Linked DNA regions of Kluyveromyces lactis. The protein of the gene in region 6 binds, or shares a complex with, the protein of the main gene of each other region. Links are inferred from orthologs where the notes say so. Each region holds a gene or a part of one and is shown on either strand. Other genes may lie near its edges.

The links. Proteins that work in one complex are often made in the same cells at the same time.
Region 1: MRPL22 (region 6) and MRPL16 share a complex: the UniProt entries of both Saccharomyces cerevisiae proteins name them as parts of the mitochondrial large ribosomal subunit. The link is inferred for Kluyveromyces lactis from reciprocal best matches to the Saccharomyces cerevisiae genes MRPL22 and MRPL16.
Region 2: MRPL22 (region 6) and MRPL20 share a complex: the UniProt entries of both Saccharomyces cerevisiae proteins name them as parts of the mitochondrial large ribosomal subunit. The link is inferred for Kluyveromyces lactis from reciprocal best matches to the Saccharomyces cerevisiae genes MRPL22 and MRPL20.
Region 3: MRPL22 (region 6) and MRPL38 share a complex: the UniProt entries of both Saccharomyces cerevisiae proteins name them as parts of the mitochondrial large ribosomal subunit. The link is inferred for Kluyveromyces lactis from reciprocal best matches to the Saccharomyces cerevisiae genes MRPL22 and MRPL38.
Region 4: MRPL22 (region 6) and MRPL3 share a complex: the UniProt entries of both Saccharomyces cerevisiae proteins name them as parts of the mitochondrial large ribosomal subunit. The link is inferred for Kluyveromyces lactis from reciprocal best matches to the Saccharomyces cerevisiae genes MRPL22 and MRPL3.
Region 5: MRPL22 (region 6) and MRPL28 share a complex: the UniProt entries of both Saccharomyces cerevisiae proteins name them as parts of the mitochondrial large ribosomal subunit. The link is inferred for Kluyveromyces lactis from reciprocal best matches to the Saccharomyces cerevisiae genes MRPL22 and MRPL28.

Annotation. Positions count from the first base shown.
Region 1 is NC_006038.1:1,064,007-1,068,639, forward strand, and holds MRPL16 (mitochondrial 54S ribosomal protein uL16m), read left to right. Parts: upstream 1-1,984; coding exon 1,985-2,650; downstream 2,651-4,633. Other genes in the region: MSF1 (phenylalanine--tRNA ligase), read right to left, coding at 227-1,615; RFC5 (replication factor C subunit 5), read right to left, coding at 2,802-3,869; APL3 (Apl3p), read left to right, coding at 4,219-4,633. UniProt on the Saccharomyces cerevisiae protein: Component of the mitochondrial ribosome (mitoribosome), a dedicated translation machinery responsible for the synthesis of mitochondrial genome-encoded proteins, including at least some of the essential transmembrane subunits of the mitochondrial respiratory chain.
Region 2 is NC_006037.1:690,864-695,182, reverse strand, and holds MRPL20 (mitochondrial 54S ribosomal protein mL58), read right to left. Parts: upstream 2,578-4,319; coding exon 1,984-2,577; downstream 1-1,983. Other genes in the region: ribosome dissociation factor GTPase HBS1, read right to left, coding at 1-304, 620-875; KLLA0_A07777g (uncharacterized protein), read left to right, coding at 1,272-1,760; DEAH-box RNA helicase PRP16, read left to right, coding at 3,133-4,319. UniProt on the Saccharomyces cerevisiae protein: Component of the mitochondrial ribosome (mitoribosome), a dedicated translation machinery responsible for the synthesis of mitochondrial genome-encoded proteins, including at least some of the essential transmembrane subunits of the mitochondrial respiratory chain.
Region 3 is NC_006037.1:612,899-617,378, reverse strand, and holds MRPL38 (mitochondrial 54S ribosomal protein uL14m), read right to left. Parts: upstream 2,401-4,480; coding exon 1,984-2,400; downstream 1-1,983. Other genes in the region: putative serine/threonine protein kinase KKQ8, read left to right, coding at 1-1,693; protein kinase NNK1, read right to left, coding at 2,862-4,480. UniProt on the Saccharomyces cerevisiae protein: Component of the mitochondrial ribosome (mitoribosome), a dedicated translation machinery responsible for the synthesis of mitochondrial genome-encoded proteins, including at least some of the essential transmembrane subunits of the mitochondrial respiratory chain.
Region 4 is NC_006041.1:685,459-690,423, reverse strand, and holds MRPL3 (mitochondrial 54S ribosomal protein mL44), read left to right. Parts: upstream 1-2,034; coding exon 2,035-2,982; downstream 2,983-4,965. Other genes in the region: KLLA0_E07679g (uncharacterized protein), read left to right, coding at 1-223; MSS1 (Mss1p), read right to left, coding at 185-1,690; KLLA0_E07613g (uncharacterized protein), read left to right, coding at 3,206-3,814; PEX12 (ubiquitin-protein ligase peroxin 12), read right to left, coding at 3,865-4,860. UniProt on the Saccharomyces cerevisiae protein: Component of the mitochondrial ribosome (mitoribosome), a dedicated translation machinery responsible for the synthesis of mitochondrial genome-encoded proteins, including at least some of the essential transmembrane subunits of the mitochondrial respiratory chain.
Region 5 is NC_006039.1:1,299,224-1,303,623, forward strand, and holds MRPL28 (mitochondrial 54S ribosomal protein mL40), read left to right. Parts: upstream 1-1,973; coding exon 1,974-2,417; downstream 2,418-4,400. Other genes in the region: LFT1 (Lft1p), read left to right, coding at 1-1,053; KLLA0_C14916g (uncharacterized protein), read right to left, coding at 1,097-1,357; KLLA0_C14949g (MFS transporter), read right to left, coding at 2,864-4,400. UniProt on the Saccharomyces cerevisiae protein: Component of the mitochondrial ribosome (mitoribosome), a dedicated translation machinery responsible for the synthesis of mitochondrial genome-encoded proteins, including at least some of the essential transmembrane subunits of the mitochondrial respiratory chain.
Region 6 is NC_006040.1:700,935-706,545, reverse strand, and holds MRPL22 (mitochondrial 54S ribosomal protein uL22m), read right to left. Parts: upstream 3,092-5,611; coding exon 2,192-3,091; downstream 1-2,191. Other genes in the region: RPS3 (40S ribosomal protein uS3), read left to right, coding at 208-921; SHR3 (Shr3p), read left to right, coding at 1,341-1,949; TDA7 (Tda7p), read right to left, coding at 3,493-4,659; NOP13 (Nop13p), read right to left, coding at 5,219-5,611. UniProt on the Saccharomyces cerevisiae protein: Component of the mitochondrial ribosome (mitoribosome), a dedicated translation machinery responsible for the synthesis of mitochondrial genome-encoded proteins, including at least some of the essential transmembrane subunits of the mitochondrial respiratory chain.

The DNA.
Region 1 (4,633 bases), on a different chromosome or scaffold from region 6:
TAAGAGAGATATGCGATAATAACGATGAACAGACGATGAATTAATGACAGTGTCGTTGTATTTCTTCTTAGATAGTGTTCAAAAAGAACTGTATGGTTACTAATTACCCACAGATCTTATTGATCACTAACCGTTACATATTGAAATGAATTTTTTTTATACTATTAACATGAAATCGCATCACTAGTAAATACGACGAATTTATATATAATATTTTGTATCTTGGTTATCTCAGTTCAACGCCGTATAGTTTCACCAGGGTATCACGAACTTTATCCTGCAGCTCATTGACTTCCTCGTTGGTGACGTTTCTGTCCATTGATTGATAGTTAATACGGTAACATAATGACTTTCTACCGGTTTTGGGGTGTGTGAATGAATCAATTAATTTGACACATTCAACCAAATCTCCTGCTACGTTTCTAACGATTTCCATTAGATCATTCTCATGGATAATGTCAAAGTTCTTATCTGTTGGAAGCCAGAAGGCCACGTCCCTGATGGTACCTGGATATTTAGAGTACGGTTTGAATTTGTTGATTGTGCCCTCTTTGAATTGGGAATGGAACCTTTCGTCAAGGGTCCAGAATAATCTGATATCAGGGATCTCGAATAATAGCATTGCAATGCGGTCAAGGCCTAATCCAAAAGCCCAACCGATGTTTTGATTTTGTTCATATCCAGCTTTTAATAAAACGTCTTCACGGATAAGACCGCAACCGCAGAGCTCAAGCCAATTGTTTTGCCAGAACACTTCAATTTCCCATGATGGTGCAGTCCATGGGAAATAAGCTTGAATCCATCTAACCTTCAACTCTTCTCCCTTCACGTTACCCATACTTGCCAACTTTCTCTTGAAGACTTCCAATACAACAAGCTCCAAAGATCTTTTCAAATGGCGAGAACATAAATCGACTTCTTCCATCGTCATGTATTCCTGCTTTGGATTACCTTCCAAGGAAACGTTATCTTCCACGACAAGTTTCACTGGGTCGTCTGCCAAAGTTTTCTCCAATCTCTCGAGATCTTCTTTAATCTTTAATAAATGTTGGTTATCCGGTTCCCTTTTCCAAACTCTACCACCTTCCATTTGATGGAACACCGGATAATGAGTCCTGTCAATCTCATCTCTTCTATAGACATCGGCAGAGATTAAAAATCCAGGCTTATCAGTCTTACCCACATGGCCAGGAACAAACCCATTGATATTCTTGAAACATTCCAACTCATGGGCAGATGTATGCGTTCTTAACAGATGACAATCGTTCAAGTAATAGGTATCAGATTTCGATCTACCGGGGTGATCTTCTGGGAATCCCAAAGAATCAAAATTCTCATGTACCGTAACCGCAGGTTTGAAATCGTTATAGATCTCGAATGAGTGATGAGGGTCGTTCAGCTTGTCCTCGATAACACTTCTTAAGATCCCAACAGGGTGTGATGGTTTCAAATAAACAGCGCGATCAGTCAAATTCAAAATCGAACTAGTTACATTCGTCTTATCTGATACTGGGTACGTCTTTCCATTCACAGAAAGTGTCTGTAATGCCACATTGGAGGTGCTAAACAACCTTAAACATGGTCTCAAAGTTGACAATATCGTCCTATTCGACATCGTTTCGGTATTAAAGAACCCTTAATAACAGTAAAACTGGGGCAATTCAATCAACAAAACAAAGGTAATCCCTTAGCAATGATATTACTAGTGATATTTCACTGCCTGAAATCACCAGAACAGGTATATCAAGTGTTGTTTAACGAGACTTTTGTATCTTCTTTTGAATGTATGTAGAAGGTCACATGATTTCAAGATATCTTCAACTTCACCAAAAATTTTTCAATAATGAAAAGCTTTAAGAGTAAGTAAAAGAAGATCCAGAGCATAGAAATTGATTTGAAAAGCAGCATAAAACAGTCCCTCGCGCCTCATTGCAAGGATCTTATTTCAGATCAGTGAGCCTCCTTTATCGTAAATTAGATCACCATGTTTTCCAGCGTTTTCAAGACTGGATTTCGCTCACTAAATCCATTAGAAAGTCTGCAAGTAACCGCTAGGCGTTTTACACATGAATATGCTCCACGTTTCAAGAACCAGACTAAGAAGCAAAAGGGTCGTGTGCCAGTGCGTACCGGTGGCTCTACTAAGGGTAATTCGCTTCAATTTGGTCAATTTGGTTTAAGATTGAAGTCTGAAGGTGTGAGACTTACTGCGTTACAGTTGAAGGAAGCCGATAATGCTATTATGAGATACGTTAGACCTTTGAATAACGGTCAATTATGGCGTCGTTTGTGTACAAACATTGCTGTTTGTATCAAGGGTAATGAGACCAGAATGGGTAAAGGTAAGGGTGGATTTGACCATTGGATGGTCAGAGTACCCACCGGTAAAGTGATCTTTGAGATGGCAGGTGACAATCTACACGAGAAAGTAGCACGTGAGGCGTTTAGAAAGGCAGCAACCAAGCTTCCTGGCCTATACGAATTCATATCGAAAGATTCTCTGGTAAGAGTAGGTATCAAGAGTGTAAAAGATCCAAAGGACGATCCAAAGATCAATTACTTTGAAGAACTAAAGAAGAAACCTACAAAGGAATATATTACAAAGTTGAAGTCCCAGCAACCGGAATATAGAATGTTCAGGGCTCGTTGAAATAGATCGATGTGTGTATATAAACGACTCTTTTACGTATAACTTTTGTGAGAGCTAATCCCACTATCTGTAAATAGGCTATCAAAGATTCAAGATTTAAAGTCCCAAATGAGTAAAGTTTGGTTGTTTGTCAAACTACAAAAGTTAATACTTACGTATATTTATCTATTTCACACATTGTCCTTGCAATGAACCCTTCTAAATGGTAGATTGCTTTGTTTCCAAGGTTGAGACGGTGATCAAAAGTGCATGCAGTATCGATAATTGCCAACTTCAACGGATCTGACTGGGCATCTGAAAGCAATTGCGTCGTTAATTCATGGACTATGGTTTTGGCAGGAATACAATGGGCTAATAGATCATAATTTATGGAACGGCATTCTACAAGGTTATTAACAGTTCTTTCTTTTAATATTTTCCTAGCCATTTTATGGATCACCAATTGCCAATCAGGTCTGTTCAAAGGTGTATCGTTTCTTAAATGCAATTCATTTTGTAGTGAGGTAGATTCTAGTGCTAAGAGTGACATTCTCAAGTTCCCCTTTGACAGATTCGCTATCCTCTCTAGACAATTGCCCTCGGCAGTTATTTTTTCTTTGGAACAACAATCCTGCAGGATAGACACAGTTTCTTGCAAACTTGGTGATGGTACTCTAACTAGCAAGCAACGAGACTTGATAGGAGCAATGATACTGGACATTGAATCACATAGCATTATAAGCCTGATGTTACCAGAGTATTTTTCCATAGTTCTTCTTAATGCTGCCTGGGCATCTCTAGTCAACGAGTCTGCCTCGTTGATGATAACGCACTTGTAACGATGTGCCAAACCATCCTTGGAGTCCTGGAAATCTACTTGTTCCATTTGAGCGACTTCCTTAATCAATTCTTGTATCACAACACGATCGTTGTTACCAATATCGCTCGGAGTAATCTCTAAATGGTAGGGACTACTGACTACATTCAACTCCAGCTTACGGTTGGATGGTGTGACGAACTGTCTAACGTCGATCTTCAGCTTGTAAACCCCAGAACCAAATATTTCTTGCAACAGTGCCATACATCTAGTCTTCTTACCAGCACCATTGGGTCCATAGAACAACAGATGTGGAAGATCTTGAGGTTGTCTCGTTAATGAGTACAATTGATTTGTTAATTCTTCATTGTAACTTAATGACTGTAGAGTCTTTGGTCTATACTTATCAACCCACAAAGACATTCTCGTATAGGAATTTTAAATCTTGTTAGTCGATGTAGCTCAATGTAACTCGCTGGAATGGCTCGTTCGCCTGCTATGCGTTTTGATTAATTGTCTCTCAAGTACTTTTCGTGATGCGTTTTATTAACAATTTCGCCAAACGTTTCTTCACGTTGACATTTTGAAATTCAAATGATTTCAAGTAGACGTAACTTCAATAGCCTTAAAACAACAACATCAAGTTAGATAGTATACCAGCAGTAGGTACCATTTTTATCTGTACACTTACTAGTTGTTATCGATTAGCAGTGCCACTTGATTATCTTCCTAGTTATTTGGTGTCTTACAAGTCAGAATCAAGAAATTAACAATGGCTTTAGGTCAGAATCAACAGAACAACATGAAGGGTTTGCAATTGTTCATTGCAGACCTTCGAGCAAACCAGAAGACTAAAGAGCATGCTAGGAGAATACAAACTGAACTACAGAATATACGGACTCAGTTTACCCAGAAAAGTGGGCTCAATGGGTATCAAAGGAAAAAATATGTTGCTAAGATGGCATATATATATATCACTACTAATGCTGGCATGGTTCCTGAGTTGTTATTCGGATTGGATCAATGTTTCCAGTTGTTGAAAAGCAGTAACTTCAGTGAAAAATGGATTGGTTATATGACACTTGAACTCCTTTTCAACCATGCTGTTGTGAGAAACAGCGTCCTGGAGAAGACTATTTCATGCTTGAAACTGGATCTATCATCTGGCGACGCTAATGCAGTAAGCT
Region 2 (4,319 bases), on a different chromosome or scaffold from region 6:
AATGTGTGAGTTTTCGGTTGTGAAAAGGATGCAGTTGCAGCGCCGTTACTGTTATTGTCAGTAGTAATGGGTCCCCTTTTAAGTGATTGCAATCGACTAGCTACGGATACAGTTGTTTTTACAGGATTACCATTTTGTCCATTACCACCTCCGTTCTTGAGTTTGTCCAGAAGAGAAACCTTAGTTGTTGCAGGTGCCATTGTTGAAGCCTTATTCCTTGCTTCTGCACGTTTCCTAGCCAGTAATTCTAAGGCCGATAGTTTCTTTTCCACTTTCTGTTCTGCAAACAAACAAATAAATGATACTTAGTTAGTCATATAGCTCATTAGAGATGCAATACAATACACGCTGTTCAATCAAGTCAATTGTTTTTTCTTCTGCTGCCCGTCCGAAACACAAATAAGCACCACGTTCACGACCATCATGATCAATCGACATGTCCAGCTCCGTTAGTACAATATATCATAACCCTCTTCCCGTCCACAAAGAAGATAAAATACAAGATAGGCAGACCCCCCTAGTACCAATTTTGTTTACCATGGAAGAACCAACAAGAAATCATAACTGAAAACACGTAAAAATATAAAACACCGCCACGTCCAATGCCAATTATACATACCCTTTTTCTTGAATCTTCTCTTTAAATCGACCAATGCAGGTTCTAACTCGAAATTGTGATCAAAAATCGCAACTTTCACGGCCAAGTTATCCCAACCCTGATAATCAGCTAATTGCTCCTTCGCCAGGGGAAACAACTGGTTCATCAATTCAAATTCTTCATCGTTTAAATAATCGTCAAATTCATCCTCGTCCTGGAAATCAGGTACATCGTCGTCATAATCCACAGCGTCATCATCGTCATAAAACTTAGACATAATAAACTGCTTCGCTTAGTCAGAGAATCAGGCAATAGACGGTATAATTCGAGTTTAAATGCAGGTTGAACCGAATAACAAGAGAATTGCTTGCGATTAGAAACCTTTTGTAATTGAGATTTTCAGATTTTTTCAGAAACTGTTGATACTTGTCACGTGACTTTAAAAATTTCTTTATCAGTTGCTGCGTCGACATGCAATCTCTTTATCGATGAGATGAGATGAGTTGTTATCGATAGCATGAAGTGAGTTGTAAACAGTGCAGTTTGTCCATTAGTACATTCTTTTTTTGGTCAAGAAGGTAATTCCCGGTAGGTGATTTAACAGGTGAACGAGTTGAATTTCCTAGGTAATATTTTGAAGAGAACAGAAGTGATATAGCCGATACGTTTTCGGATGACAGTTCCGGAGAATGTGCTGACAACGCATCAACGAGTGATACAGAGTTGTGTTTTGTATAATATCGTACCGCGAAGCATTGCAAGAGCGTGGGAACCCCAGCATTTGCTATGGAAGGGGAAGCTTATAGTAGACGAGCTTTTGCATTTGGATGGGTCCAATCAGTCGACGATGATGCAACCGTCGCTGTACAGGTTTCGATTCGTTTCGGATAAAGAGGACGGAGTTGATAAAGAGGATATAAACAGCGACGAGAGGTTGTTCTGTGAGACGCAGGTGATATCGAATCTGAAGGAGCTGCATACGGTATTGCAGCGGAGGGAGAAATGGTATCAGATAGCAATGTTGTGCGAGGGACAGCATAGGCATCAGATTGCATTGGAACTACAAATAAAAGATGCGTATCAGATGCAGTTATTCGAAGATATAATCCTGAGAATCCGAGATGAGTACGAAATTTTCCAAGAGATGTACGATGGGTATTAGTGGTACTAATGTATCATTTTTTCCTAACGATAATGACCCCAGCTGTAACTTATTGAGATAGACACTAATTTTTGCACGTCTTCCATTGTATTATATTACATGCATATATATAGATGTTATAAGCCATTTAATAGAGTTGATGACTAACGATTGAAACATAAGGTCGATGGTTATCTTATTACTATTTACAGATATACAGTATGTTGTTTTCTTTTACCTTTTCTCATGCTCTGTACCAGAGTTCCTTTCTCTTTTTTCTTTCGGCTCTGGCCAATGCTCTCTTAGGATGCCATTGGCTCTTTATCGTCTCAAGAACTTGATTCATTTCTGTCTTTCTTTCCTTGGGTGGTTCAGAAACAATAGAGATGAACAACGGAGAACAGTTGAACTTCTTTGCTAAAGCTTTTCTAGAGTTTTTCACCGGGTCCTCCAGTCTTAGTCTTCTAATCTCAGCGATGTCTTCAGGCTTCAAATGGTAGGTCTTCTCACCCTTCTCATGTAACACTGGCGCTACCCTCGATATCTCTGCGTTACCTTGCGTTAGGTCATCTATAATGTCGTGCCTTGGATCAGTGGCCGGTAAGAAAGATTTTGGAATCGTTTCTGAGTTAGTAGAACCATGGATAGAGGATGGAGCTGGATCGTAATATAGACCTGCTGGAATCTTGGCTTTCAAATAACCTTTGTAATTGGAGGCAGATGATTTTGGATTGTAAATGGTAGCTGGTCCAACGATCTTAGGTAACTTACCTGATTTATCAATTATCTTTGAAAGATCCTTGGCCGCACGGGCGCTGGTCGAAAATAGTCTCACCATACTGTAGCGAATATGTCAAATGTAATTTCTACAGCGTAATTGGGGATTATAAGCCTGGTGTAAGGGTCTAAAACTTGTTATTTAAACTATCAATCACCATGTTTCGCACTGCAGACTCTAAATCTTTCAGTTTGATGCTTTCAAATTTTTCAGATAGAAATCCTGATGAGACAGACAGGATTAGTATGGGAAAACAGTTTATTTCGAGAAATATAGGATTATTCTAGTGGATATACCTACCTGAAGATGCTTCTATATAATATCGATTAGTACTATGAATGAGTGTGAGCTGACCTGTTAAAATAGGGCTTATATTGGCGATATTATGCAGCTTTTAGAAGTGCCAATTTGGACTATTCTGTATCTTTTGTCACGTGAAAGCCGGGTAATCCCAACATCAACATCAAATGTCGTTCCTATTCACAACAGGAAGAGCTGAAAGGCTATGAGATGGGACAAGAATAATGGCATAAACAGTCCTTGTGATACTTCATTAGCAGCTCTGTCTCATCAGGTTTTACGCCAGGTGGTAGGTTTACCAAGCAACAGAATTAGATGAATGCAGAACTTCAAGAATGGATTCAACAGAATACGGAATCAAGAGTGACAGAGAAGTTTGTTGAGACTTTAAGGCAGATTGCACGTATTCATAAGGATGTAAACAAGTTCATCGGGGGTGCTAAGGCTTTGGGGAAATTTAAGGGCAAAGATGAGTTTTTGAAGCAACTTTTTGAAAAATTACAGGCACATAAGCAGTCTCCAAAGCCAGAATCAGCGGCTGTTCCAGCAAGAACCATAAGGAAAAAATTTGTGGTTAAACTTCCGTTGGATGACAAGGAAGACGACGATGAAGATGAGCTTTCTACTGTGAAGGTACAAGTGAAACCAAAATTCAACAAGCCTTTGACTTTGAAACGTATTACGAAGCAAACTGCAGCAAAATTGAATGAGTTTTCAGAAAACACTGAACCAGTGGTCATGGTAAAAAAAGAAGAAGCGACCAAAGGCACACTTATCGATGCAGAAGGTAGTGATGTGGAAGATATAAAGGACGCCAAGGATTTTACTGCACAAGATAGAAATTGGTACGATAATGATGATGATTTTGATAACGTCATTCACGATGATGAATATATACCAGCTCAGCAAGATCCGTACGAAGGCGGCGACAGAGAGCTTGACTTGAATGAACCTGAAATCCAATTAACTTCCTTATCGTTGAATGAGCGTAAAACCATTATTCCTCCGTTTTTACTTGATTTCCATGACCAGTCAGGAGAGCTTGCGATAGTGGGTGCTTTGGATATGTCTTCAAATGCAAATAAGGGAATAGCAGATCCGATAAGAAACCCTGAGAGCGACTTTTCTATTAATGCAAGGAGAGGCAGCAAGCTTGTAGCGATGAGGAGGATTCATAGAGATAGAAAATCTAAATCTCAGAACGCTACCGAGCTAAAAGGTAGCGCCTTAGGTAAAGTTCTAGGAGTAAAACAAGATAGTTCAACTGACGCGCAAACTAAGCAACCTAATCAGCCCATTGCTATAAAAGAAAAAGAGCAGAGCTTTGAAGAAATACAAGCAGTGAGAAGGTCTTTACCCGCTTATAAAGTACGACACGACTTAATGCGCCATATTAGAGATAACCAGATTACTGTGGTTATTGGTGAAACGGGTTCAGGTAAAACAACACAATTAGCACAATTCCTCTACGAAGACGGTTTCACTGCAAATGGTAGAATGAT
Region 3 (4,480 bases), on a different chromosome or scaffold from region 6:
GAAGAGACTGAACTCGTTTTCACTACGTCCAAGGGCATTGTCTAATCCTGGTCAAAATCCCAATCATCCAGTCGAGAATAGAGAAAGGTCTAATACATCAAGTATTGATCTGCTTATGAGCCACGAGTCTGAATCTAGAGCTATTTACAAGTCGGATCAGTTTAGTGTCTATCCTGATGGCCATCATGCTCACCACTTGAAAGTGGTGCCTATAGTACATGATTTAGAGCAATCTTTGAACAAACCTAAGAGCTCGTTTTCATTTTCTGGTTTTTTTAAGACTCACCGTACCATTGCCGATGATGGAGAGAATTTGGCGACAGCATTGTCGTTATTGCCAGCAAACCGGTTTAGTTTCCACAAGAGACTCAGTCAGATAATAGACGAGGAAAACGGTAATCATAATGCGGATGAGGAACTTGAGCATAATGGAAATAATGGTGTTGATTCCGATTCAGATGCGGATTATGACAACCAGTCCTCTGGAAATTCGAACCCATCTGATGACGAATCCGAATCTGATGAAGATGGTTATAAGGGACCAAATAAATCAGCCAATGTACCAAAGATTGTTAACGAAAAATCCGTCATTGGTGCTAACGAATTGAAACTGATAAACCAATTAACCGAAAAGATCGATAACGGATTTTGTTTGAAGGGCTCTAAGTCTGATGCAGTTTCCTCCAATGAACCTTCTTCTGCTCCACGAAAGCAGCATTTATGTGAGAAATACGGGAAGTCGATCGGTATCATTGGACAAGGTGCCTATGGGGTTGTAAAACTATGCTATAAATTTATTGACCCAGATGAACCTGATCTGAAAGATAATACATATTTCCATGATAACAAGTTATTCTATGCGGTAAAAGAACTGAAGCCAAGACCTGATGAGCCTCCAAAGAAGTTTAGCACAAGACTAACCTCAGAATTTGTGATAGGATTATCGTTGAGTGGTGGTAACAAAAGCAGAAGATCTTCGGCAAGAACACATCCTAACATTTTAAACGTTATTGATTTAATGCAAACACCTAACGCATTTTATGAAGTAATGGAATTTTGCCCTTCAGGTGATCTATACAGCTTGATTACAAGAAGCTCAAAATCTGATTCAGTTTTACATCCATTAGAAGCAGATTGCTTCATGAAACAACTACTACATGGTATTCAATACATGCATGCTCACGGTGTAGCTCATTGTGATATTAAACCAGAAAACTTGCTATTTCTCCCTACAGGTGTATTAAAAATATGTGATTTTGGTACAAGTTCTGTGTTCCAAACAGCCTGGGAAAAGAAAGCACATTTCCAAACCGGACCAGCAGGATCTGAGCCTTATGTTGCGCCTGAGGAGTTTATTCCAAAACAACAATACGATCCAAGACTAGTTGATTGCTGGAGCTGTGGTATTATCTACTGTGTTATGGTTTTAGGCCATTATTTATGGAAAATTGCTATCAAAGGCAAGGATTCAGTATATGACGCATTCCTCGAGGATATGGAAAAACATGGACAATATTATGTATTTGACGAAATGAAACATGTGTCTCCAGGTATGAACCGGTACAGAACTGCTGCACTTTATCATATCTTCCAAGTTGATCCGAATAAAAGGATAACGGTGGATTCATTGCTAAAAAGTTCGTGGATGAAGAGGACAAAATGCTGCGTTACATATCCACCAAGGCCGGTGTAACACCAAAATTTGTTTCATAGCTGAAGGCCTTGCTACTTTGGCAGATTTAGATTAGTTTCTTTCGCATCATTTTTATCTATATTTAAGATAAACATACATCTCTTTGAAACACTTATAAAATATTGATATCACTGTCAATGAGCAATAAGTTGGTAGTCGCGTATCCATCATATTTATCATGGCATTTTCATAAACTTTACTAACGATATTTTCTATTTTTTATTATCTATATACATGATTCTAAAAGCCCTGCGCAGTCGTAATCGATATTTACCAGTGGTGAAACATATTTACAAAACTTTACTTGCTAGAGAGCAAATCTTGTTGTAGCCCTTTTCCCTTAGTTCTCTGCCGACAACACCATCGTTACCCATAATTCTTGACCCTAGAGGTTCACCATTATTCTTGTTGATTAATACACAAGCATTGTCACCGAACGCAATTGTTGATCCATCAGGACGTATCATATTTCTTTGCTTGGTACGTACCACCACAGCGTGTACAATATCACCTTTCTTCACTCTGTTGTTATTGGATTGCCCAGTAATAGTTTGTGTTAATGGTTTAGCCTTCTTCACCACACAGACGATTTTGTCACCTATTCTACCTGGAGATTTTGGCGAACCTTTTCCAAGTACTTTGATACATTCGGCAATTTGAGCACCTGAGTTGTCAATGACTTTCAAAAAAGACTTCAAATAAATCATGTTATAACAGTCACAGTGTGAACTTCAGTTAGGTCGTGTGCTGCAGGCTGCTACTGATCGGGAAAGCACAGCTTTTCTTCCTGGACTATCGTTAGAGAAAGGATTAAAGCTTTCTATGTCTGGTTTCATCAAATTTTTTCTTAACCCATAATTGATGTATATCACGTGATTGATTTATTATTGGCTAATCAACGCCATTATCAACGCTTACTACATACAAATAAAGTGCTTACAACGCCGTCATTGTTAAGACAGCTGGTGTTTTCATTAGTTATCGTTATATACTTCAGTAAAATTATTAAGTATTATGCTGTTGAGAATGGTAAAACATCAGAAAAAAGGTCAATGTAACAGTATGCGTTACTATTAATGCTATTGGTATGCTTGTTGAATTAAAAATTAAGGGTTATAACTGACAAGGACAGAATAGTAGAAAATATTTTGTTAGTTTAGGATTAGTTTCAATGCTTACCCAGAGCTACTTTCACCATATCAAGTTCCCATCTCCGGGTTAAGTCTTTCGTTAAGCAGCCCTTCACTGCGTTGAATAGACCTTGGAATTCCACCTGGTCATCTACACCCAAGTTCGAGTTCATATCACAGTTACAAACTTGGCGTAGTGTCGTTTTATCATATTTACCTGAAGTTATTATTGCACGAAGTCTGGGCTCGTATTCATGTTTAAAAGGTAATTTGCCGGTAAGCATGGTGAAAATTAAAACACCAATGGCCCATATATCAGCGCTTGGTCCAATGGGAGGAGGGTTGGGTTCTAGTAACTCCGGAGCAGCGTATGGTAAAGAGCCAATTCTGCTCATGTCATCGTTGATATGTTCATGCAAATCTTTGTTAGGTGTTAATGTAATGTCTGTTTTTTGGTTCAACGAGCTGGTTAGGTTAGAACGAGTGCTCTTTGGTACGGAGTGAATACCCAAAGTCGTATCATCATGAATTAATTTTTTATCGTTCACTATTTGTCTTAACCTTGATTTCAACCGTAAAGAAGAATTATTCGTTGAAGAGGAAGATCTTGGAATTGAGGGTCTTCGTTTCAAGTGAAGAGTAGACCCATCAAATAGGGATTTCAGTTGAATTGATTCATTTTCCATCTGATCTTTGAAATGGCCATAAAAGTGACTCATGCCAAAATCGCATAATACAAGCTTCCAATCTTTGTAGTTCTCAGACTTTTTTTCTAGAAGGCAATTTTCCAACTTTATATCTCCATGTGCAATGAATTTAGAATGCATATATTGTACAGCATCAATTAATTGTAACGCTAAGGCGGATGTAGCTTGACACCTTTCTCTTAAACTAATCTTTGAATTACCACATTCGCCCCAAGAAACAACTAAATCGTATAAGGTTCCATGATCGATCTTATCTGTTAAACAATATGCCACCAGATCATCGTCTAATTTCCATTTTGTTAAAGGAAGAATATTATTGTGGGAAAGTTTCGACCATATTGAGATTTCACGTAGTACTTGCCTCTTTACACTTCGATTGTCCTTGAACTTGATAATCTTCATCGCCTTGCAACAAGTATTATTCTGGTTTTGAGATTCATCTGTAGAAGGGAAACATTCCCTGATCATACCCCAAGCGCCGAACCCTATTATTTTGCCAAGTCTATGACCCAAAATGAAAGACCCTTTATCGTCCCTCTTGAAAGAACTAGAACCGGGGGTAAAAGAGTTCAAGTATTTCGATGCAACTGATCCATGTCTGGATCTCACGTTATGTGTTGAGCCACTGTGGCTTAATTTCTCACGTTTCAAAATGTTCATAATAGTCTTATAGTCATGGTTGGGACTTAAATCCTGTATGATCTTCTTACGTTGGGAAAATGGCATATTGATGAAATCCGATGGAATAGATCTCATAATTCTATCTAGGTCATGTTCTGATATTTCAATTTGGGCAGGTGGAGTTCTCAGAGACGATGCAGAAAATAACGATGATGAGCTCGGTCTTGCTATAGGAATTTGAGGCTGTTGCTCATTTTTAACATTTGGTAAAGGGATAGGAGCCACTTGGGAATGCAAATCGTCTAGTTTCAATACTGATTCCTTCTGTG
Region 4 (4,965 bases), on a different chromosome or scaffold from region 6:
TTTTGAGCAAGAGACTGAACAAAATTATGGTAAACTAGAATATTTACAGAGTAAAATCAAGAAAGATGACGGCATTAGTGATTGGGTCGATGAGAAACAACGGCTTTCTGGCAGATTGAATAAACTAGAAAAGCAAGTGCAAGAATTGGAAGAATTGGCAGATGAATGGGAAAACTATTTACAATTACTTGCCGATACAAAACTTCGAAAAGACAACGTCTAAAACCTCTTCCAAGTCAACGTTATCACCAGTTATCTTCCCAATTCCATCGGAAGCTATTCTAAGTGATTCGCAAGCTATTAATATATCGTCATTCTTGTGCTGGAAGAACTGATCTAGGCCGAATAGAATATCAGTGCTTAAAATTTCTTTGACTCTATTGGACACGGTGACTGGATCTTCATTCTCAGTTGCCGAGATTCTTCTGAAACTTAATGTCAAGGTCTTAACTAATGGTTCCAATCCAATTTTGGTTAAGCAAGAGACTGTATGAATTTTCAGGGCTTTAAATTCTGCATCGAACTTTTCAATTAAGTATTTTAACTGGGTTTCAGTAGCTAAATCCGATTTATTCAACACGACAATTAAAGGTTTATCAGATAAGTTATCCTTGATAAATTCTTCAAAATGTTTACTTATATTTGGGTTAGATACATCAATGACCAATACCACTAAGTCACTTTGTAAACTTTTCTTTTTGGATCTGTCAATACCTTTGATCTCAATAGAATCTGAAGTTCCCTGTCTGATCCCTGCCGTGTCAGTCAAGATACATTTAAAACCGTTAATGTCCATCATTACATCGATAGAGTCTCTTGTGGTGCCCGGTATATCACTGACAATCGCAACGTCGTCTTGAGATATTTCGTTAACTAATGATGACTTCCCGGAATTTGGTTCACCCAACAATGTTAACTTTATCCCATCGTTCAAGACAGCCATTCTATCTAATTTCACCATGAATCGAGTCACTTTTTTGTATAGTTGTAAAAGTTTATCATTGGCACCATTCACTATAGAATCGATATCTTCCGTTTCGATATCTTCACCAAAATCAATAATTGCAGTTAGTTTAGCGATCTGCTCTATAATCTCTTGTCGCCATTCATGGAAAATGTCTACGGTCTGATTGCCATGCAATGCAGACAATCGCTGTAATTCTGTATCTGAATGAATCATATTGTTGATACTTTCAAGCTTCAACAAATCCATTTTCCCATTCTGGAAAGCTCGTCGACTGAATTCTCCCGGCATCGCCATACGAATATCTCTTTCAGAGTCCCGCAAACCCTGGATTGAGTTTAACGCTGCCTTTATAATAGCTTTCCCCCCATGTAGATGCAATTCCACTAAATCTTCACCTGTAAAGGTCCGTGGTTGTGGGAAGTACAAGACTAACGCTTCATCTATCAGAGTTGATGCCTTGGGATCATATAATGACCGAATCATCGGTTTCCTCTGCCGTAGCGGTTTTTTTGGCGACAATTTTTTTAAGATATACTTTGAATGTGTACCCGATATCCTAATTATAGCTATTGCAGAGTGCTGATTTGATGGCGTTGATAATGCATACACTGTAGGATGGAAAAATGTCGCTGGAACACTATAAAACCGTCGCAACATTGGGCTGAACATCACTTTTTGCGAAAAATTGAACCAAATGAGAGTGGGATCCTTGTAGACTACCATTACGATTCCAACTGCAATTTATGGTAGTTTAGAATAGTCTGTAAATATGTTTAGCTACCGATTCATCGACAATCCATAGCATAAGTGCGCCGTATCAGAAAGAATCTGGAATAATGAGATGTCTGTGAAAACATATTATTATCACGTGACTACTCGGAAAACATCAACAGTCTACTATATCCGGGTAATTGCAGATCTCAGTATCGAAATATTGAAAAAAAATTTTAGTGAAAGAGTTACAGAGAGAGGATGGAAAGAAGTTGAGTGATGCAGTGAGCTATTGGTGAGGTTTGCCATTGATATATACAGCAATCAACATCACCATCGAGGGGGGTTAAAGAAGGATGTCTGTTTTGAAGCTATTGAACCCTGTGCGAGTGCGAGGATTTGCTTCTTGTGCCAGGTTGTACCAATCAGAACTGTCATCATTGAAAGAATATAAGAATACCATCAGTACACTGTTAAAGAACCCTGCACATGAACTAACAAGCCCCAATTTAGTTGCACTCCATTCCAGATTAAGATTGCCTCAAGGCTTATCCTATTCTCTTTTGTCCAGATGTTTGACGTGTCGTTCTAGTGGGGAAGTGAACTATGACAATGTCAGTTTGAACATTTTTGGTAAGAGTCTTTTAACTTTGGCAGTTACATCCGAGCTAATGAAAAAATATCCTAGGCTACCGGGTGTGGTTTTGAATGCTGCTGTGGATGCATATATTAACGACCATGTTTTGAGCAATGTCGGTCGTTCCTGGGGTATAGAACCGGAAACTCAAAGTGTAGTGGATAGATATGCAAAGAAAGAAAATGTTACCATTACATTGGGTAAACTACGTTATTTCCAAAATTCCGTAGATGAATTGCATAACTTCACTGAGAACAATGCTATGGCAGTTGCCGTAAGGAGTATATTCGCCGCTGTATACAGTGTCGACAAAGATTTCAACCAGACACATAAGTTTATCGCAGATCATATTTTGTCCAGAAAGCTGGACGTTAAAGATTTGTTCGCGTTCGAACAACCAACCAGAGAACTGGCAGCTTTGTGCCGTCGCCAAGGATTGGAAAGACCGGTATCGAAACTACTTGCAGAAAACGGTAGATTGTCTAAATCACCCTTGTTCATCGTTGGCGTTTTCAGTGGTGAAGAGAAATTAGGCGAGGGTTACGGTTCATCTTTGAAAGAAGCTAAAGCCAGAGCCGCTACAGACGCTTTGTTGAAATGGTACTGTTACGAACCAGTGCATGGCCAACAGAATGTCGTTATTGACCAAGGCGAAGTGTTAGTATAGACAGGCCGCATCAGCAATGTATGTTTTCCACATAATCCTTTTCAGTTGAGATCAACTTTTAAAGATTTCTTTCCCTGTAAATATAATATACAAATACATAATAGTAATTCATACACTGTTGTACTCGAACGAAATAAAAAAGGAGGTTGTACGAAACTTAGTTGTGTCTTGAGGCCTTGCCTTATTTATAGCTAGATCCTGTTCTGCATTATTTGATCAAGATATGGATTTGAAGGAGGAAGTTCTGCTGCAAGTTAATTCGACGATCATTGAAAGTAAAGGAGGTCCGTTACTATTTATCCTTGTATTGGAAAATGAAATAGCATCACAGTGTTTTCTGTGTGATGGAGTTGGAAACGTTGATACGAAGCTCAGCCTTTTCAGCTGGAAATCCTCTGATCCAATTGGAATCCTAATGGTTGACCCGGACATTTACGATTACGATGACATGTTACAGTCGTTGAATTCGAAACAATACATTATTAAATCCAAGTTCCATTACTTCCCTGAAACTAGCAATTTGATACAATGGCATGAGAGTGTACGATATCCTTATAAGCTAATCAACTGTGGAGTAGAAATTCAGGATGATCATTCCGATTTAAAACTATTAAAACGTGATTTAAAAGATCATTTGGATAGGATGATTCAATATCTTGAAGATAATGATAGACCAAGCGATGAAATCTTGAAAGAAATTTGGTTATTAAAGCTAAGATACAGTAGAACATCGGCTCCAGACTTAGATTCAGAAATCTCTAGGCTGGAATCTGATATAATGATGATGCAAACGATGTTCAATCAAATGGAAACCAATGCAGAATTATTCTAATGCTACTGGCTCAATTATTCTCATTATTCATTTACTAAATTAATGCAAAACTATATTAATAACTTACGGATGCGTTTATCTATGGGCACACCAGTCGCGAAACATGTATTTTCTGTGCTTACCCATTTCTTGGCACACTCTAAATTAGCGACATATCCAGATGAAATCATGGCAGGTTCTGTTATTTCTTCGCCGCATAGGGGACATACGTCAGTCGTATCATTGTTATCCACCTCTGATGCTACGCCAGGTAGTACTGGAGGTTTTGGTCTCTTTACTCGTATCTCTTTCTTGAATAATTCAGGCCGCTGATTGATAATTTGTAAAATTCTGATCATCACTAGGAAGCTCGGGAATAACTTGTCCAAGAACATGGTCGATGTGCTCTCCACTGCATCCTTGGTCATAGCTAATATTCTGGGTAAATTAGTTCTTTTACGACGACGTTCAGAAAGAGTTAAAGTATTTTTCCTACTTGCAATTCCTTCTTCGGGTTCTTGGTATCGTTGGTATCTTATTTGTGTTATGAAATGGATCATATCAGTGTCTTTTGAATGACGCAAGTACTTTAATTTGAAACAGAAATTTATCACTTTGATAGTCTTCTGTAGCTTAGGATAATAGGCATCAAACCATTGTTGCCATGAGCTCAATTCTGGGCTCGTCAATTTTCTGGACTGCAAGAGCTCATGGTATTGTTCACAGATATCACTAACGTATTCGAATAAACAGTCATTCAACCAAATTCCTAGAAAGGTTAATTTAGGGAATCTAGAAAACCTTTTCAATCCATAGAACTTGTCAAGAATTGTGGCACCTGTTGTTTTATAATGTCTGTATTCAACCAAAGATTTAATCACCAAGATTATGAAGTCAAATTTATTAAAAATCTTCAACAGCCATCGTGTTGGTCCTCTATATTGGAGATAAATGGAGAAAATATACCTTAAAGTTGGTTTGATTAACTTCTTCACTTCATTGACAGAGAGTATTTCGAATAAAGTCGGTTGTTGTAAATTCACCGGGAGATTGGAGTAAAAATCCATCGCTTTGAGTCCTCCCTGTTTCTTGTATTTGTTTCTGGAGTTGTAATTGTGTTAAGGGACTATGAACGTGACTTTGTTTGATTGTAACTGTTCCTATGTTTTTTA
Region 5 (4,400 bases), on a different chromosome or scaffold from region 6:
GACGAGGAAAACGTTTGGGATAGTGTTTTTGAGGAAAGGCAGTTGAGCGAAGTAGTACGGGATCAAGGACCAAATGATCTCGAACGACCAGCAGCGCATAAAGAACCAATTGCTACCGAACAACCACTGGGGAATAAGCTTGAGAATCAGAAAGATGATGATGATGACGAATATATTAGAAAAGTTCGTACAGCTGTAGAACAATTCGAAAAGGCAGGCTTCTTCGAGGATTTAGACGATACTAAAAAGGGTTCAAAAACAAAAGCCATGGTATATAAGCTAGCAGACGAGGTGATAGCCCGACATAAAGACAAACTCTTACGCATAAGAGACCCAAATTATGATAAGTGGTCTGAACCATTAAAAACCCCCATGATAGATAAATATCATGAAATCAAAGAAGAATGGAGACGTGAGGAAACGAACCACGGTTCCAGTAGTTTAAACAACAGTTCAATGACTACACAGAATGTTACATTTGCATGGAGTTCAAATGCTCATCGACCGGAGCTGACCGCACCAAAGAAGCCTTTGGAACCGCATTCCAATAAGAAATCAACAAATGAAATACTACGGAGTAAAGCAATGAAAAGCGCTCATGAATTAAGAAGTAAGCAAATTCTGCTCAATAAACTGCGGGATAAAAATGATAGAAACAATCTGCCTTCACAGGATGGTGATGATGTCAAGCCGAAATTTAAAATGGATCCCTTGGAACCATTTGTCGCCAAAGCTTTACCGAGAGAGAAGAAGAAGCGACCAAAGGAGAAAAGGAAGAGCAAATTTTGGTTTTGGGGATCCCTTACCCATCATACTGACGAAGGAAACCACAGAGACAAAGCTAGGTCGCCAGAGCTTGAAGATTATAAAATTGGTGTTGTATCACCGAATTCGCGGTCCCCCACGTTATCGATTCCTTTCTCTGATCCCGATAACACTCAGACTATTACCAATAACGCAGTATCGGACAACATTAACCATCACCTGTCGCTAATAGACCTCGACGATGACGAGGAACACTTAAAGTGTTCAACGCCACCGTTAATACTGTGATACGTACTTTTTTTAGGCCTAATATATTTATTTCTCATCCTATTTAAATATCATCTACATTAGCACTGTAACTATATACCTTTTTTTGAGCCGGCGTTATTATAACTTGTTCTCTGCGTACCGGGGTAGCCACGATTGCCTCTGGTATGTGGTTGGTGCTCATATGACCCACTTGATTGCAATTTTCTGCTTGCTCCTCTCGTAGTGCCTTGTCTTCCTTAAGAACATCTGTATACGTTGGAGGATCCTCTGGCAAGGAACTTTTCTTCTCATCAGGATATTGCTTCTGATCGTCTTGAGACATCTTTCCGTAAGTTTGAGTTTAACTGTTTACGACTCCGAATGTTGGTCCAAGGGAAATCTCAACTCTTCGAACAGCGTCGGTTCTGATTGCCATTAAAATATATTGTCGTTTCTATACATTATAAATGGTTCAAACAGGGTCCTTGATGTGCAGATTTCCCTTTAAAACCTTACAAATGGCGTAATGCTATATCATCATATATCAGATGTAAAGATGAAAAGAAGGAAAATATGATATCTAAGGTATTCCAGGCTTTGTTAGATTCAATTTTTCATTATGTGAGGTGGCATAGCAGGTAATCAAGACAAGTCGGAAGTTAATCACCTACCAGCTAGTCGAAGGGCAGCTACTCCCTGTGTACTTGAACCTTTTTAGGTCACGTGCAAAAGAGTTTAGCAGTCAAAATAATCAACAGTTCCGGGTAACAGACATTTGTTTGTTCAACATCAGTAACTTTGAAAAATTTTGAAGATTCGATGAGGTTTCAGTGAGTTTATTGTTAGCTTTGACAATAAATTGAATGACGATTAAATACGGGTTGATTTTCTGCGATAAGTTCGTGTGATAGCATACAGCTTCTCAGCCAACCGAAAGGATCATTAATACTCCATCCACTATGCTAGCGAGTGCAGCATCTCGTAAGAATGCCTTGAAGGTAGTGCAACCCTCTTTGAACTTTGTTCGTGGGAAAAGAACTAAATCGAAAGGTGGATTAAATCCTCAAGCGCAAAGAATCATTACACAACTCTCTGTTATGTCTGCTAGCAGGAAACAGCCAAAACTTTTAAAACTTTCCCGTGAAGATTTGATCAAACATGATATGATTCAAGCTTGTTGGGCGCAATATCAAAGGGAACTGAGGGAAAAGAGAACAAATCTCTTGAAACTACAGTACGAGAATATAGAAGAAGCTATGAACTTATTAGAACAGGTAGATCCCGAACTATATGAAATGGCTAACGCTGAAGAATCAGGTAAGAGGGTCCCATTGGAACTAAGGGTACCTACTCAATACCCACCGAACAATGTGTGGTATTATGATTACAAGAAAAAGGATTGAATAGTTCGTTTCCAGGCATAATGCATTAAAGGTAGAGCACGAATCATATTTCACATTATCTCTTCTAGGACACTTTTTTATCGGTACACCAAACGTGGGTTGCTCGAGAAACAACTTGTGTGATCTACAGGCAAGACCAAGTGCCACGCAATAAAATATAATGGAGATGTTGCATTATATATTGTAATGAAAGAGTTAGATAGAAGAAATGTAAACAAACCATGTAAATAAGCAATTCTACGAAATGATTATCGGCAGAATGAAGCTCTTAAGCTTTTCAAAGGGGACTTTAACCGTATTCCAAAGTGACAGTGTACTTCAGAAAAAAACATGGCTTCTGTGTATACATCGGTTCGAATATGAATAATGGTCTTGTTTACAAATAGCATTATTCATTTGACTTAGATGATTTTAGCTTGAATGGGTACATGGTTAGCAAAATGGCATCACCATACATATTTTCTCCAGAATGATTTGCCTGCGGTGTTTTCAACGTTTGGAAGTAGCAGCCACGACAAAATCATTAGTTGAAACAACCCAAGAACAATAGGGAAGAGAACCCATGTACCTGTGCGATCAGAAATAAGCCCAACTACTAATGGAACTACAGCACCACCGGAAGAACCCATTGAAGTCATGATCAATAACGACTGTGATAATATTTTCCTTGGTAGAATCTTGGGATGCGACACTAGAGCAATCATTAAGGGATAGATTGGGCCTATAAACAATCCAGATATTGTTGTACAAACCGCAGAAACATAGAAGTTTGGTATTAACCACGCCAAAAGCAACAATACTGAAATGTTTAACGTTAGTAGGAAAATGGAACGACGACCACCTAATTTCTTGTATAATAATGTGGTCAAGCAGAATCTCCCTAGAGTTAATCCACCCCAATAACCAGATGCTATATAACCTGTGCTGTTTGCATTACCATGACGTTCCTCTAAAAGGAAGGTAACCATCCAGCCACCAAGTGAAACTTCCCCACCTTGATAAAAGAACACGAAAGCGCACAGTAACCAAGTTCTATAATCTCTGATAGATTCCAAGAATTCCGAAGTTTTCTTGTAACTGCCACCTTTCTGATTTTGAAGCTGTAATTGTTCCATTTCCATCCTATGCAAGTCAGCTTTCTCATATTCAGCCAAGTCCTTAGAAGTATTCTTGTAAGACCAAAAGATGTTGAAGAAATTGAAGATAGATAACCCTAGTAAGATAAAGTAGTATTGATTCCATTTATATCCCACGTTAAGCATAGACTGAGCAAGCAAGGGTGCAATCAGGGCACCAACGCCATAAAATCCATGCATTAAAGCCAAACATGTACTAGCGTTCGTGAAACTGGCCAAAAATACGTTGAATTGAGTTAATCCAAGAGCTAAACCCATACCGTTGAAGTAAAATGCAACACAAATTACTGGAAACACGGTACCCGAAGAGATCAAAGCATACGCCACGATTTGGAAAGCCACTCCAAGCGAATTTAAGAAAGTTTTTGGAACAACTTTAACTATTAATGGCGTGGATAAAGCGATGACAACGTATCCAACAGCACAACTCATCCAGATCATAGATACAATAGAGTAAGATATGTCATAAAATTCCTCCATTTTGGGAAGCAATGCACCTGGGGCAGCATCTGACATTCCTGAAGTAAAAGTCCAAATACAACAAGCAATAATTCTAAATTTATTCATTGGAGGATCCTTCCAATTTAACCTTGACGCATCGTACAACCGTTGGTACTCTTCAGCAGCAGCCTCATCATTGTAACGTTGCTCACGAGCTTTGACTTCAAGGACTTCTTCGTCAAAACCATTAGGAGTGAAAACCAATTCATGTTCTTCAACAGAAACTTTAGAGTTAGGATCGGCTGTTATCTGGGTCTTACGCTTAGAAAATGCATCATCGAAATACCCGATGGGTTCTGCACCAGCAGAGCTACTGCCTGCATTGTCATTACTACTACTTCCATAC
Region 6 (5,611 bases):
GAGTAAATACTGTCTTTCAGATGATTTTTTCATTTTCACCATACCAATCGCAGCGATTCGGACGGTTTGACGAATATTGTTCTCATCATCGCTTTACAATCTGGTTCATTATGAACATAAGTGCCATTGGACATACAAGATACTTACTTTAGTTAGTTTTATTATCACCTATAATTTCGAGCTCCCCGACGAACAAATAAAGTAAAAATGGTTGCCATTATCTCCAAGAAGAGAAAGCTTGTCGCTGACGGTGTTTTCTACGCCGAATTGAACGAATTCTTCACCAGAGAATTGGCTGAAGAAGGTTACTCTGGTGTCGAAGTCAGAGTTACTCCAACCAAGACCGAAATTATCATCAGAGCTACTAAGGTTCAAGATGTTGTTGGTGAAAATGGTAGAAGAATCAACGAATTGACCTTGTTGATTGAAAAGAGATTCAAGTACAAGCGTGGTACCATTGCTTTATACGCTGAAAGAGTCCATGACCGTGGTTTGTCCGCTGTTGCTCAAGCTGAATCCATGAAGTTCAAATTGTTGAACGGTTTGGCCATCAGAAGAGCTGCTTACGGTGTTGTCAGATACGTTATGGAATCTGGTGCCAAGGGTTGTGAAGTTGTCATCTCCGGTAAGTTGAGAGCTGCTAGAGCCAAGTCCATGAAGTTCGCTGACGGTTTCTTGATCCACTCCGGTCAACCAGTCAACGACTTCATTGAAACCGCTACCAGACACGTTTTGTTGAGACAAGGTGTTTTGGGTATTAAGGTTAAGATCATGAAGGACCCATCTAGAAACACCTCTGGTCCAAAGGCTTTGCCAGATGCTGTTACCATCATCGAACCAAAGGAAGAAGAACCAGTTTTGGAACCTTCTGTCAAGGATTACAGACCAACTGAACCAGTTGAAGCTGCTGAATCTGCTTAAATCAATTGATATCTGTTTGATTCTATATTATTAATTAGTCTATTAAATACCGTTCTTATATGTATAAATATTAAGAAACTCATCAATTCTTTTAAAAATAAGTAATCTATGCCCAGATGACATCGATTAAAACGTCCTGCTTTTATCAATGGATTTTTAAAATGATTTATCGATAGCGCCTTCCGATAATGCCTTTCCGCCTTTCAGTTCCTTTATCTTTCATACTAATCAAAAAAATTCGGTGGGCAAAAATCATGTAAATTATTAAAAAAAAAGAGAATATATAGTGCGTACTGAAAAAACCAATGGCTCAATTATAGATGAATTGTTAACCATTTAATACCACACGTAGGGTCTATACGTTCCATTTTTAAGAGAACGTAGGTATCGCTCACTAAACACATTGACTGAAAGTAAATATGGGCCTAACTTATAAGGATTTTTGTGCTGTAGGTACAGCATTGATCATTGGATCAACTACTTTTTTGATGGGGATCTTCTTTTCTAATCAACCATATGACTATAATATCCTATTCAATCCTGCTGCCACGCCGGAGCATTTTGAGAACGCTTTGAAACACTACCAGACTCTATTCTACACGGCCAAGCCAACCCTTTATATGCTTGGTGCGGTGGCCATTGTGGGAGTCATTGGTTCCTTGATTAGGGTATACAAGCCAAATCCAGATTTGCAATTATTTGAATACGGTTCATTGGCTTTGTACGTTTTGGGTATCTGTGTTTTCTTAACAAATATCAAGACCGGTGTTGAATCTGCGGTTTACCATAACTGGGGTGAAGTCTCTGAGGCGCAAGGTATTGCTGTTGTTGCCTCTTCCAATATCATTATTTTAATTGTCTTTGCTGGTGTCTTAGTGTTGCAAGGAGGTTTGTGGTACAGTACCTGGGAATATGAACAAAGATTAGATCAATGGAGGAAAGACCAATTGAAGGAATCTGCCGCTAACCAACAGAAGGCGGAGAAAACTACTGAACCAGCTAAAACGGAATCTAAGAAGAAGAAATAGACGAAATTTGTTTCCTTACAGTTTGATGCGGTGAAGTATTTCGCGTTGCTTTCACTATTTACAAGCTCTTGTTCTATATATTATATAAATGATATGAAATACTTGGCTATTCCGACATGGATAACTTGAGATGAAACCCAAAGACAATCTAAGGACCTTATTATTGATGATTTAATTGCTGTATATTATCTTCACCCATTATCATTGGAAATAAACGTAATATGATAATGTTTAATATCTCATTACCATTTGTAAACACCACCCATAGAACCTCTGATGGGTTTATCTGCTAATTGAACCCACGGTTTCTTCCTTTGTTCTTTTAGTTTGGCTTCGTGCTCTAGTCTTCTCTTCGTTACACTCTTGGTCTTCAATATGCATTTGATATGCACATATGGGTGTTCAATGAGACCACGTCTACCTCTACCCTTCCATTCGACACGTTTTTGCCAAAATCCATCACTGCCGGTCCATATCTGGGAGATGTATAGGTCATTGGCATCCAAGCCAAGCTTCACACCATCATTAATACCGCGCTCCAATAATTCGGCAACATCACGGGCAACCTTTTTATCGGAGAAATGACATTGAGTCAAAGCTTTCTTAGCGTCCAATCCGTTCAAAAGTCTAAGCAGCTGTGTGGCCTTCTTCATAGATGATTTTACTCTGTAAGATTTAACATAGACACTAGGTTCAAGCACTTCTAATTCTTCATTCGTTAATCTCAAAGAACGATCTTTAGGGCGCACGCTTTTGTCGTAAAACCCACCGTTCAACCTAACCTGTTGTTCATAGAATTCCTTCTTAACTCTTGGTAACAAAAATTCTGGTAAACTTTTGATCATGGGGTCTTGTTCTTCGATATATTTCTGTAATTGTGTATCATTGGCTGCTGTAACTTTCTTTTTAGCCTCTGCCAGCTGGGTAGCAGCATCCAAATCATCTGACAGTTCGGTAGCAGTAGTCAACTTATTAGATAGTTTATTTGGATCGTCATCCTTCAACGGATTCACTCCATCGGTGACTTCACCGAATAGCGAACCTTGTGCAGATTTTTGTAGCTGCAATGCTGAAGCTTGAAAACTTCTTACACCGGAAGCCTTTCCCAAGCCGAACAGGCTAGTTACTGTCCTCGATAGCATTAAATTTTATATAGGTTGAACTGATGACAGAGCCTGCAACTAACCATGTAATTTACACGTGCCTCTAGTATTATACTGTAGGCATTTTATTACTTTGATCAATCCTTCTTCTGTACAATGTTTGATTATCAAAATTTTTTTGTTCGATGGTTAGGAAATATAAATCATCGTGAACGGGCATGAAGATATAAGGAATGGTTCTACTGTGTGGAGGAAGATATTGAAGTCCGACTATCTTGACGGGTTGTAAGATCACAAATTAGAAAAGCGTTAGTGTGGAATTGCTAGGAATTAAACCTTAAATATGAACTATATAACTGAAGATGCACAAAGAAGTATATTGAATAGAAGGGAAAATTTAAGTACAAATTTGAAAACTTTGTAATTAGAGTTTGGTAAGATCAGTGTTCGATTAGTTCCGTTAAATATCCGTGAGCGTTCTGTGGGTTTTCATCGTAAGTAACTGACATTTCAGTGTCATGTGTACCCTCATCGGTGGAAGATGACACAAAGGATGAATGTAGTGATGTTGTGGAAGGCGTCTGAGACTCTGGATCTGCAATCGATACAACATATTCGTCGTCGAATGGATTTGTCGTCTGTGGCCTCCTGACAGAATCTGCAACATATGGAGGCACTGAGGGCAAACTTTTTGAAACTTTGTTATTATTATGAGCAGTCGTCGATACTCTGGTTGTAGTCTTGGTGGTTTGCTGAGACTGTGCAATAAACGTTCCGATATCGTCGTATCCCATTTTTCTCCCAATGTCGTGGGAGAAGCTCTTTTCGTGTTCGATAAGATTTCTCCTTCGTCTCTTCCTAAATAATAAATAGATCACCAGTATCATTAGCGCCAGACCTCCCACGCTTCCTATTACACCACCGATTATTGTATCTTTATTTGATCCAGACGATGTTGAGTTGGAATCCAATGCGCCAGATAGCCATCTTTCGTAAAAAGATGTGTCAGTCACAACTGGACCTGTAGGTGTAGTGAAAGTAGCCTCTGTGGGTATCACTGTAAGTGTCGGTAGTCCTTTAGTAAAGGTGGTTGAAGTGTCAGTAAAGATGAAATCTCGTGTGTAATAAACCACAGTTTCAGAAGACGGTACTTCAGTGGTCAACGTTAACCAAGTCGGTGTAGGCACAGTGGCAGTAGCTTCTGTACCCTCAACAGATGTGTATTCTTGGGTCGCGGTGTTCTCGGGATAAATTGTTTGCATTACTATGTTGCTCGGTCCTGAGCTCATCTCAAGTACCGTCACCATTGCCGTGTCTACATCTGTATGCGACGTTGAATCATCTGTTGACGGCGGTACCCAAACTGTAGATGGCGATACTATGCCAGGTGAATCCGAATCCGAATGTGATCTGTTTGGATATACCAGAACCGTCCTGGTCTTCATACCATGTGGCTGCTGCGTAGAATTTCCTGAGTCAGGGTTGATGTAATCCGTTCGTAAACTAGCAACGCTTTGTGAGAACGACTCCGAACTTTCTGTCAGTGTATCTGACGAAGAAACAACAGATGAATAATCAGTACCGTCAGTGGTAGTGTTGAACAACATCTTTAGGTGAACTGGCCAGTGAGATCCTGTTATAGATCTTGAAATTTAATAGTTTCCTTGGTACAACTGCTTTACGCTTGTAACGGTTTTTCGGTAAAAAAAATGATGTAGCAATCGACTTCACCCTTTCTCAAGCAACTAGCAACTTATGTATCGTCACCCACTACCTTATAAGTCCTGCCTTAGCGTCCCTTGATGGATGTATAGAGAAGTTGACGACGTTACCCTCGCCTATTTCTCCTTATGCAAGGCTTCTATTAGTAGACCTGCTTCAAGTTCTATATTTGTTTGCTGCTCTCGAATGCGTAAAAGAAAAAAAAAAAAGTCGTGCTCGCCGGTCGTGGAGAAGGATTCTCGAGACTGAGCGGTGAAGAAAAACAAGATGCAGCCTTCGACTTGCAGCAGAAGGATGATAACAGAGAACCTCAGTCCCATACGTCCTTCTATACTTTATTTTTGATAAGTATATATTCCTATGAGAGAATATAAATATGGGTATATGATCTATTTCGAACTAATATACAAGATTTTGATATATTTCATGTTTTCTTGACGCACATTAAAAAGTTGTCTTCTTACCTTGCGATGGCACAATGGCTGCAGATCCTCTTTGAGCAGAAGCCAATGCAACACTACTTTTCAAACGATTGTTAGAATCCTTGTGAGATGGTTGTCTATTGGAATAGGATGGTGCACGTCTTTCCCTAATTGGTGGTGGTGCTGCTGATGATGACGGTTGAGTCGTCTTTATGTCAAATGATGGCTTCCTTGGTTCCCTGGCATCTAACTCAGGTCTCCTTCTCACTTGTCTCTTTGATCTATCTTCACCGTATTCCATTCTAATAGGTCTGCTTGCAATCTTTCTACAACTTTTATCTTTAAGCGCATTGGTAGCACCTGTTTCGTCCTTAAAATCGATAAATGCAAACCCTTTACACTTACCAGTGTCTTC